2 linked regions of the Saccharomyces cerevisiae S288C genome follow. The protein of the gene in region 1 binds, or shares a complex with, the protein of each later gene. Each region holds a gene or a part of one and is shown on either strand. Other genes may lie near its edges. A codon is read from its position in the direction of its gene.

Evidence for each region. The genes of interacting proteins can lie anywhere in the genome.
Region 2: the proteins of STE20 (region 1) and BEM1 are in contact, whole or in part, in an NMR structure (PDB 2RQW), measured with the Saccharomyces cerevisiae proteins. Residues at the interface, in NP_011856.1 of Saccharomyces cerevisiae: Asn467 (codon at 1,922), Gly468 (codon at 1,919), Lys469 (codon at 1,916), Phe470 (codon at 1,913), Ile471 (codon at 1,910), Pro472 (codon at 1,907), Ser473 (codon at 1,904), Arg474 (codon at 1,901), Pro475 (codon at 1,898), Ala476 (codon at 1,895), Pro477 (codon at 1,892), Lys478 (codon at 1,889), Pro479 (codon at 1,886), Pro480 (codon at 1,883), Ser481 (codon at 1,880); in NP_009759.3 of Saccharomyces cerevisiae: Tyr164 (codon at 3,231), Phe166 (codon at 3,237), Glu169 (codon at 3,246), Lys170 (codon at 3,249), Ala171 (codon at 3,252), Asp172 (codon at 3,255), His188 (codon at 3,303), Glu191 (codon at 3,312), Trp192 (codon at 3,315), Ile194 (codon at 3,321), Pro204 (codon at 3,351), Leu206 (codon at 3,357), Pro208 (codon at 3,363), Gly210 (codon at 3,369), Phe211 (codon at 3,372), Val239 (codon at 3,456), Gln240 (codon at 3,459), Lys243 (codon at 3,468), Ser244 (codon at 3,471).

The regions. Positions count from the first base shown.
Region 1 is NC_001140.6:94,618-100,437, forward strand, and holds STE20 (mitogen-activated protein kinase kinase kinase kinase STE20), read right to left. Parts: upstream 3,321-5,820; coding exon 501-3,320; downstream 1-500. Other genes in the region: SHU1 (Shu1p), read right to left, coding at 3,726-4,178; YHL005C (uncharacterized protein), read right to left, coding at 4,211-4,603; mitochondrial 37S ribosomal protein uS2m MRP4, read left to right, coding at 4,602-5,786. UniProt on the Saccharomyces cerevisiae protein: MAP4K component of the MAPK pathway required for the mating pheromone response, haploid invasive growth and diploid pseudohyphal development. Links the pheromone response G-protein beta gamma subunits to downstream signaling components.
Region 2 is NC_001134.8:618,131-623,027, forward strand, and holds BEM1 (phosphatidylinositol-3-phosphate-binding protein BEM1), read left to right. Parts: upstream 1-2,741; coding exon 2,742-4,397; downstream 4,398-4,897. Other genes in the region: TAF5 (chromatin modification protein), read right to left, coding at 1-393; KTR4 (putative mannosyltransferase), read left to right, coding at 779-2,173; YBR200W-A (uncharacterized protein), read left to right, coding at 4,853-4,897.

The sequences.
Region 1 (5,820 bases):
CGAGAGAGGATGTTATATCGGTAGGAATTTCTCGTATATGTGGGAAATAAGAAACAAGCGTAATTCTCTCAGCTGAACAAGAACTGACTCCCATGGTATTTTTTTTTTTCTACTTCTTTTCTTTTCCCTGAATTTGCGGGATAATATAGTTCGTGCACTAAGGACAATATTACGGATATTTCCAAAATTGGATAATACCTCTCCTTCGTTACATAGAACGCAGACAGATGTTCGTGTAATGGTACCCGACACTCGATGAGACTTTGTTATTTTTATACGCCTGAAATTAGGAAGAATTTGAGTTGGTTTCAATATTCCTCAGTTTTAAGCAAAACTGTTGTCGTGATTTATTTAAATTTCGTTAATGAAGTTGTGAATTAGAGTGGGATGTGTTATAAAATGTCCAAATATACACGATAAGATATATGAAAAGAATTTTTATGCCAGTCACAACTGTGTATATACTTTGTCGATAATAAGGTGTACCCTGCTTGCTACGTTTACTTTTGTTTATCATCTTCAGTTACGTCCAAATTTACGGTTTCTTTGCTATCGTTATTGTCGTCACAATTGTTTGTCTTATTAATATGCTCGTTGTCGTTATCGTCGTCATTATCTTCATCAGCATCCATGTTCTCAGCTACTTTCTTCAATCTTGCTAACTTGACTAGCGGGGCCAATGAGGAATTGGCTTCAGCTATCTCCGTGATATATTCATCATGAAGCAATTCCGTAGCGCTTGCTCTATCTTCGGGCTCCACACATAAACACCAATCAAGGAATTTTTTCAAGCTTGACGATAGATTCTCGGGTTCCTTTAACTTGGGTGTACCATTTGTAGCAATTAAATACAGTGCTCTTAGCGGGGTTTCATTTAAATATGGAGGCTCCCCCTCGATCATTTCAATGATCATGATACCCAACGACCAGATATCTACTTTTGGGCCATATTCTTTCCTAGAAACCACTTCAGGCGCCATCCAATAAGGCGTTCCCACCATAGTAGTTCTTTTCAAGTTCAATTCATTGATTTGAGCGCAAAAACCGAAATCCGTTAACTTAATATCCCCTTCCATGGACAATAGGATGTTATCGGATTTGATATCTCTGTGAAGAACACCTTTAGAATGTAAAAATTCCAACCCACTCAAAGTTTCTCTACAAACGGCACCAATTTGACCTTCTGTCAAAATACAATGGGTGACCACATCAGTTAAGGAGCCACCTTCCATGTATTCCATAATGACCCAAAGGTCGCCTTTTAAAACGTAAGAATCAATGAAATTAACTATATTAGGGTGTTTGCTACCCTTCATGACCAGAATCTCATTGATGATTAGCTCCTTTTTTGGTTGCTTTTCGAGATTCATTTGCTTAATGGCCACTGAGACATTCGTACCTATTTCATAAGCAGTATAAACACCACCTGATGCACCTTGACCAATTTTTACTAAATTGGCATATTTTGTACTTGGGTCACCGTCTGAGCAAATTTCGTTCAATTTGGCATATAGTTGTTTTTTACGTCTTTCCCTTTCCTCTCTCTTTTTCTCATTTAATTCTTTAGACAAGCTTCTTGCTTGAGCTGGCTTCGAAGTAGGTGTCGTTACCGTCTCTTGCGCCGGCGCTTTTGGCGATTGAGCAACTTGCTGTGGTGTGTGAGCTGTGGAGATGATTGGAGACGTTTTGGATTTGGTTGGAGGTATTGGTGGTAGTGGCTGCTCCTCTTTTTTTAAAGTGGCATTTCTTGATATTGAGGACCTGTTTGGGCTGGTCCTGTTCGGAGTTGTAGGTGCATGAGTCTGCTTCAAGGGCGAAACATTGGCGGCAGAATTCATGACGGGTGATTTTATAATTGGAGCTGAAGCGGACGCAGAAGATGGGGGCTTAGGAGCCGGTCTACTTGGTATGAATTTCCCGTTTGCTGAACTAGAATCTGTATTTAAGGTTGGAGACATGACGTGATTGGACATTGGTGTACCTGTTCTGGAACCGTAATTGTGCGAATCACTTGTCGACGGAGGAAATTTATTGAATGAGTTTGCAGGCGGTGTTGAAACTTGAGGACTTCCCGGCAATCCTGTGGTTGTGTTGAAAGTCTTGAACATTTTATCTTCACCGTTTGTTTCCGTGACATCCTGATAGAATTTGACAATATCCATGACTGCTTGCATGTTTTGCTGTTGTTCTCTTTTGGAAATACCACTAGAAGTCAACAATTTTTCCCATTCCTCCGGCAAACCTGTGTACTCACCAGTCTTGGAGTCCACGCCCACATGGTGGATATGCTTGGCATTGTATGGCGTAGATATCCTCAAAGCGGTGGTTATAGAAGATGAGGAAGAATTATTGGACGACGATGAGGCCCTTTTATCATCCTGAGAATTTCTCTTTATATTCTGTACAAAGGACGTAAAGACATCTTTCATTCTTAGTGTACCACTATTTGAACCGCTTTTCCTTTTTTTCGAAGAGGAAGAATAATACGATTTTTCTGTTTGCTTTTTAGGTGGAGAGGAGTTTTTTAAAGGATTTTTCGAAGGAAAGCTTTTTTTCACAGAAACCGGTTTACTTTTTGCTTCAGGCTTGGACGGTTTAACTTTTGGTTTATGTTGCTTATGCTTAGGGTTCGAAAGCGAATGGGAAGCTGAATTGATCTGTCTTGGCGTGGTTGTCATCGATGGTTTAGAGATAACGGGAGTGGACACTGGTGTAGCCCTTCGTATATCAGTGGAGCTCTTATTCGAGTTTACTGTGGAAGATGCAACTGGCTGCTGGTGCTTCACTGTCGCGTTATTTTCTATAGTTTCTGTAGAATCTGTTAACGACAGTTTTGATAGTAAAGTGTCATTAAACTGGTGATCTGACTCGGACGCATTTATGGTAGAAAATGTGTTGTCAGCAGAATGATCCGGGGTTATATTGCTGGTATTTATGTTTGGAGTGACTGCTTCTAGAGATTTGGTTTCATCGATGTTAGAATGAGGACTCATGGATGAAGACATTCCACTGATGACAGAGGAGGAAGATACTCGGGTAAATTGAATAGGATCATCTAGTGAAACGACATTATTGTCATCATCATTGGTTGTCTCCGCGTTCTTCGCAGGATCCATGGATTTGTATCCACCAGCTTCATGGGCAGCATTAGTGCCTTTTTGTAAGGCATTGACGTTCAAAGTTCCAGTGGTCCTTGGTAATCGTAATCCATCGCCGCCATCGCCATTGCCGCCCATGGCCCTTTCATTGTCATTGCTGATACCGTTATCAAGACTGTCCTTGTCTGGTAGTTCCGATACAGCAGATGGATCATTGCTCATTTCTTGTATTAGTCGAGGATCTTGTGGGATATTTAGGATGGGGTGTGAGGCAGTGAAGGGAAGAAGTTTGGGTTGCTTGCTACCTCGCTCTAATTGTACGTACGGATGTATGTCTTTAAGAAAGTATGTAAGTGTGTGTAGTATGTGAGTATCTATGTAAGCATGCGTTGCTAATGCGAATTTACGGATGCCTCTTTTTGGTTTCGTATTTTTCCTCTCTGGCCAGGTGACTTTCTGAATTTTTCAGCTGCCAAAAGCGGTAGACTTTCGAATTCCCTCTCTTGGCCGTGTTTCGGGCCACGAGGCGAAAATTTTTTTTTTTTAATCGAAAAAAAAAGGAAAAAAAGATTAACGTTTCTTTTTCGTTCTATCGTCTTCTACGATATCGCATGTAACACAATGCAGCTATCTGATAATATGGTCCCAGAATCGCAATAGCCGGGCAGGCACGCTACTAGAAGGCGGTTCTGGATAGAATTCAACTTTAGATGGCAGACTGAGGCACTGCCGTAACACAAGGCTAAGTAGCCGCAGCTGTTGCGGTCCATCTTGTGTCGCGGTGAGATCCCACAATCCATAGACGAGTACATTAGAGTATTGCGGACCATTCGCCTGCGCTTGCATCCGGGTGAGGTACATGTATAAGTACTTTACCCGGCCCAAAAAAACTACGGATACCCGCTCCCGGCTTGCCACGTGACCTGCCACAGTGTTCGTAGTCACGTGCTCCTTCAGTCCTCCTAACTCTACGTACTTCCTGGCAGTGTCTCCAAGGACTATCACCAGTACGTTTGGGCTTGACTGATCCAGGCTCCAATCGCTTTCTACTAGCTGTTGCAACCGCTCTTCAAACTGCATATTGTATCCTGCTGCTGCTGTTGTTGCACCCGTTATTGCACCTGAGCATTAATATATGCGTATATGTATCTATCTATGTATATGTGTATGTGTAATATGTATACGTTTATGTTAATGCATAAACTGTAATGAAACGAATACTCACCCGCTTGCTCTCTCTCACGTATAACACACGCATACTGCCCTATTTTCCTGTTTATCTCGGTAAGAAAAGGCCGTGCCGGGTCAGAAAAGAGTGCAAGAAAAAAATCAATTCGGTAAGTGAATCCGAGAGATGAAATTTGTATGTCGTAGGTCACTGCTATATTTGATGGTAAATAATAATCAGTTCTGGCAAGTGTACATACGCTCGAGAGCCTGATTATCGCGGGGCACAAATACAGGTGATTCGAGAAATAAAAAGTGAGAAACGACTCTTTTCTCATGCAGAGACACGTTTTTGCGAGGAATTTCAGACGTCTTTCCTTATTGAGGAACCCTTCCCTTACCAAAAGGTTTCAGTCGTCAGCATCCGGTGCGGCCAACACCCCTAACAATAACGATGAGGTGATGCTGTTGCAACAGAAACTTTTGTATGATGAAATTAGATCAGAATTGAAGTCTCTATCTCAGGTACCAGAAGATGAAATATTACCTGAGTTGAAAAAGTCATTAGAGCAAGACAAACTCTCTGACAAAGAACAGCAGCTGGAGGCTGAATTGAGTGACTTTTTCAGAAATTATGCTCTGTTGAACAAGTTGTTTGACAGCAAGACATTAGATGGACAATCTTCTACAACGACAGCAGCAGCCACGCCAACCAAGCCTTACCCTAACCTTATACCTTCGGCCAATGACAAACCATATTCCTCTCAAGAACTTTTCTTGCGTCAACTAAACCATTCCATGCGTACCGCTAAATTGGGTGCCACTATTTCGAAGGTTTACTATCCTCATAAGGACATTTTCTATCCGCCCCTCCCAGAAAACATTACTGTTGAGAGCTTAATGTCTGCTGGTGTTCACTTGGGCCAGTCTACCTCACTTTGGAGGTCTTCCACACAATCCTACATATACGGTGAATATAAAGGTATTCACATAATAGATCTAAACCAAACTTTGTCCTATTTGAAGAGAGCCGCCAAGGTAGTAGAGGGCGTTTCGGAATCCGGTGGCATTATCCTATTTCTGGGTACAAGACAAGGCCAGAAAAGAGGGCTCGAGGAAGCTGCTAAGAAGACACATGGTTATTATGTGTCTACCAGATGGATCCCGGGTACTTTGACGAATTCTACAGAAATTTCAGGTATCTGGGAGAAGCAGGAAATCGACTCTAATGACAATCCCACCGAAAGAGCGTTATCACCGAATGAAACATCAAAGCAGGTTAAGCCTGACTTGCTGGTCGTATTAAATCCCACAGAAAATAGAAACGCTTTGTTAGAAGCAATTAAATCAAGGGTCCCAACTATCGCAATCATCGATACTGACTCCGAACCTTCTTTGGTGACCTACCCTATCCCAGGTAACGATGATTCATTGAGATCTGTCAATTTCTTACTAGGAGTCTTGGCGAGAGCTGGCCAAAGAGGCTTGCAAAATCGCTTGGCCAGAAATAACGAAAAATGAACACTTTTATTTTCTTTTGGCTTGTTAACCTAAA
Region 2 (4,897 bases), on another chromosome or scaffold:
TCTCTTGGATGACAAATTAGTTGGATTGCTTATGGGTTTAGCTGTCTTCCCGGGGTTCGGAGGAATTGATGATTGTTCAGGAAATTTACCTGTTTTAGTATTTGCTGGTGATTGTTTGTTTTGAGGTGTTAGTGTACGTCCACTCTCGGCTCTCAGCATGGCCTCTGTACGGTGGTATCCCTTTTTATTCAGGTACTCTAGGACAATTCTATTCAAGTCTGACGCCGAAAACGGACCATTGGACCTCCCCTGCTGTTGAGACTGGCCTTGACTCTGTTGCTGTGGCTGCTGGCCGGAATTGGCGCCAGCAGCATTATTAGTTCGTTGATTCTTTACTGGTTGTGGCTGATGCGTGCCATTTTGATTCTGATTCGTACTTTGCTTCTGTGACATTCTTATTTTTCAAGTATCTCAACTTGAACCCGGAGTTTCTCGTATCTTTTCTCCTTCTCTTTTCCTACCCTTATGCCTGCTTTATTGCTCTTTCTGCCACTTTGTAGACTTCATTTGAAATCTTGAAACTTTTTTGCTTTTGAACAATTCATCTGAACCCGTAAAAGATGATATTTACAGCTACTTTTACCCGGCTAAGGGGAGAATTCCATTCAACGGAACGAGCTCTATAAGACGTTCTCTAACTGCATGTAGTGAAATATTTTGAACCATTTGATATGCAGATACTTTCACGGTGTTGCACGGCTGTATAATATACAATAGGCCGTTACAGCAGAACACAATTTTTAGTTTAGACCCAACAAGGTGAACCATACGAACTGATATGAGGTTTCTTTCAAAAAGGATACTGAAACCTGTACTTTCAGTGATCATTCTAATATCGATTGCCGTAACCGTTGTTCTTTACTTTTTAACGGCGAATGAGAACTATTTGCAAGCAGTCAAGGATAGTGCCAAGTCCCAGTATGCTTCTCTCCGGGAGAGCTACAAAAGTATTACAGGTAAAACTGAAAGCGCTGATGAACTTCCTGATCATGATGCTGAGGTGTTAGATAGCATAATGGACAGGCTACACGAGCCCCTTTATGAAAAGGACACTTTTGACCCGAATGAAGTCCTTGCTGAAAATAAACAGTTGTACGAGGAGTTTTTACTTCAAGAAATTTCTGAGCCAAAGGTGGACAATTTGGTACGTAGCGGGGATCCGTTAGCCGGCAAGGCAAAAGGAACTATTTTGAGTTTGGTGAGAAATTCTGATTTAGAGGATATAATTTCTTCTATTCAACAGCTAGAAGAGGAGTACAATAAGAATTTTGGATATCCCTATACCTTCCTTAACGATGAGGAATTTACTGACGAATTCAAAGATGGAATAAAAAGTATTCTTCCTAAGGACCGTGTAGTAGAATTTGGCACTATTGGTCCAGATAACTGGAATATGCCTGATAGCATAGATAGGGAGAGATACGACCAAGAAATGGACAAAATGAGTAAAGAGAACATTCAGTATGCAGAGGTGGAATCCTATCATAACATGTGTCGTTTCTATTCTAAAGAATTTTACCATCATCCTCTGCTATCTAAATATAAATATGTGTGGAGATTAGAGCCAAACGTGAATTTCTATTGCAAAATTAACTATGACGTTTTCCAATTTATGAACAAGAATGACAAGATTTATGGGTTTGTTTTGAACCTCTATGATAGTCCGCAAACCATCGAAACGCTATGGACTTCAACTATGGATTTTGTCGAGGAACACCCAAACTATTTGAACGTCAACGGAGCCTTCGCATGGCTAAAAGATAACTCTCAAAATCCAAAAAATTATGATTATACTCAAGGGTATTCAACTTGTCATTTCTGGACCAATTTTGAAATAGTCGATTTAGACTTTTTGAGGTCAGAACCTTATGAAAAATATATGCAATATCTTGAAGAAAAGGGAGGATTCTACTATGAAAGGTGGGGTGATGCCCCTGTAAGAAGTTTGGCACTTGCTTTATTTGCGGATAAGTCAAGCATCCATTGGTTCAGGGATATAGGTTATCACCATACTCCGTACACGAACTGTCCAACTTGTCCAGCAGATTCAGATAGGTGTAATGGAAATTGTGTACCAGGCAAATTCACTCCTTGGAGTGATCTAGACAACCAAAATTGCCAGGCAACCTGGATAAGACACTCTATGTCTGAGGAAGAGTTAGAAATGTATTGAAGACATTAGCTTTGAGAATTTGTGCCGCTGCTTTCGAGAACGGCATCACATCTGGGGTTTTATGATTTAATTTAGGACGCACATAGATAGATATATATTATGGAATTAAGAAAAGTTTATAATGTAGCAACCTAAAAATGTTACAGGTGAACATTCATGGAAAATGAAATGTTTCTCAGCCAGTAGATAGTATTGTTGAAGGTATTATTGGTTTGAGAAAGCTACTCCTCAAAAATGTCACTTGATAATATGGAATTATAATGTCGTTATATTTTCAATCATTTCAATACAATATGGTAAACCGAAATCCAAAAACTTTACAATATCTCTTATCTATTGTTATTCGACATTCTTCCCGGGCCTTAACGGCTTCTTAACTAATATTACCCTAAACGGACAAATGGCGAAGGGCCCCATTCATTTACGAACAGGAAAAAAAGAAAGTGACAATACAGCCATAATTTGATGTACCATCTTAATCAGCATATGTTTTCACTAATATACTAAACCCATATGGATGCACGTTGAAAGCACTGTGTGAAAAGAAATTGTCAAGAAAGCCATATAAATGCTGAAAAACTTCAAACTCTCAAAAAGAGATAGTAATGGGTCGAAGGGCAGAATTACATCCGCAGATATTTCCACACCTTCTCATGATAATGGGAGTGTTATAAAGCATATTAAGACAGTACCAGTGAGGTACCTTTCTTCATCTTCCACCCCAGTGAAAAGCCAACGGGACTCTTCACCAAAAAACAGACATAATTCTAAAGATATTACTTCTCCAGAGAAAGTTATAAAAGCCAAATACAGTTATCAGGCACAAACTTCAAAGGAACTATCTTTCATGGAAGGTGAATTTTTTTATGTATCTGGAGATGAGAAGGATTGGTATAAAGCTTCAAATCCTTCTACTGGAAAAGAGGGTGTTGTCCCCAAAACCTATTTTGAAGTGTTTGATAGAACTAAACCTTCCTCTGTGAATGGATCCAATAGTTCAAGTCGGAAGGTTACAAATGATTCATTAAACATGGGATCGTTATACGCCATTGTTTTATATGACTTTAAGGCAGAAAAAGCTGATGAGTTGACAACTTATGTGGGAGAGAATTTGTTTATTTGCGCCCACCATAACTGTGAATGGTTCATTGCTAAGCCAATTGGTCGACTTGGAGGGCCCGGCCTTGTTCCTGTTGGGTTTGTTAGCATCATAGATATTGCCACGGGGTACGCAACAGGTAACGACGTAATAGAAGACATCAAGTCAGTTAACCTACCAACTGTTCAAGAATGGAAAAGCAACATTGCAAGATACAAAGCTAGTAATATTAGCCTTGGTTCTGTGGAGCAGCAGCAGCAGCAATCCATTACAAAACCTCAGAACAAAAGCGCAAAGCTGGTTGACGGTGAATTATTAGTGAAAGCATCCGTTGAATCCTTTGGGTTAGAAGATGAGAAGTATTGGTTTTTGGTTTGCTGTGAATTATCTAACGGTAAGACGAGGCAACTGAAAAGATACTATCAAGATTTCTACGATCTGCAGGTTCAACTTTTGGATGCGTTCCCAGCAGAGGCCGGTAAGTTGAGGGATGCAGGTGGACAATGGTCCAAACGTATAATGCCCTATATCCCTGGACCCGTTCCATACGTTACCAATAGCATAACAAAAAAAAGAAAGGAGGACTTGAATATATATGTGGCAGACCTAGTGAATCTTCCCGATTATATATCTCGCTCAGAAATGGTGCATTCCTTATTCGTTGTTTTGAATAATGGTTTCGACAGAGAATTTGAAAGAGACGAAAATCAAAACAATATTAAAACATTACAAGAAAACGATACAGCAACCTTTGCAACAGCATCTCAAACTTCTAATTTTGCCTCAACTAACCAAGACAACACTTTAACTGGCGAAGACTTGAAGTTAAACAAGAAACTCTCAGATTTATCTTTATCGGGCTCCAAGCAGGCTCCAGCCCAATCAACTTCTGGATTGAAAACTACTAAAATTAAATTTTATTACAAAGACGATATTTTTGCTTTAATGCTGAAGGGTGACACAACCTATAAAGAACTTCGTAGTAAAATCGCTCCAAGGATTGATACAGATAATTTTAAATTACAAACCAAATTATTTGATGGTAGCGGGGAGGAAATTAAGACTGATTCACAAGTCAGTAACATAATCCAAGCCAAACTGAAAATTTCCGTTCACGATATTTGAATCTAGTGTTAGAAGACGAAGCATTTTTCTTCTTTACTTGGCAGATGCACATAGGTTGAACATTTTAATCAACTTTATGATGATTTGCGAGAGTAATAAGATTCTCCCGAACAGTAATAATATTAAGGTATCCAATTCTTCCGAAACAGCGTGATTTGTAATAAAAATAAATAAGGACATATATGTATATAGAAAGTTGCTTAAACTTTTTAGACCACTTGGAAATATTTTTTATTTATATTTTTCTTCAAATGTAAAGTTGGGTACCTAAGCTTAAATTCACCTGAAAATGAATTATATGAAAGATTTTACACCACATGTAAAAAAAAACGTACAAAAAGCCAAATATTTCCACTCAATCATAATGCATGAATTATAGGTATTTTAAGTTATATTGCTGACGTAAAATTCAGAAGAGACTACAAGAAAAATTCTGAACATATTTATTCTTAAATATGCTTTTGTGCTTCCATATGTGTCAAAGGATAATGTGGCTCCCT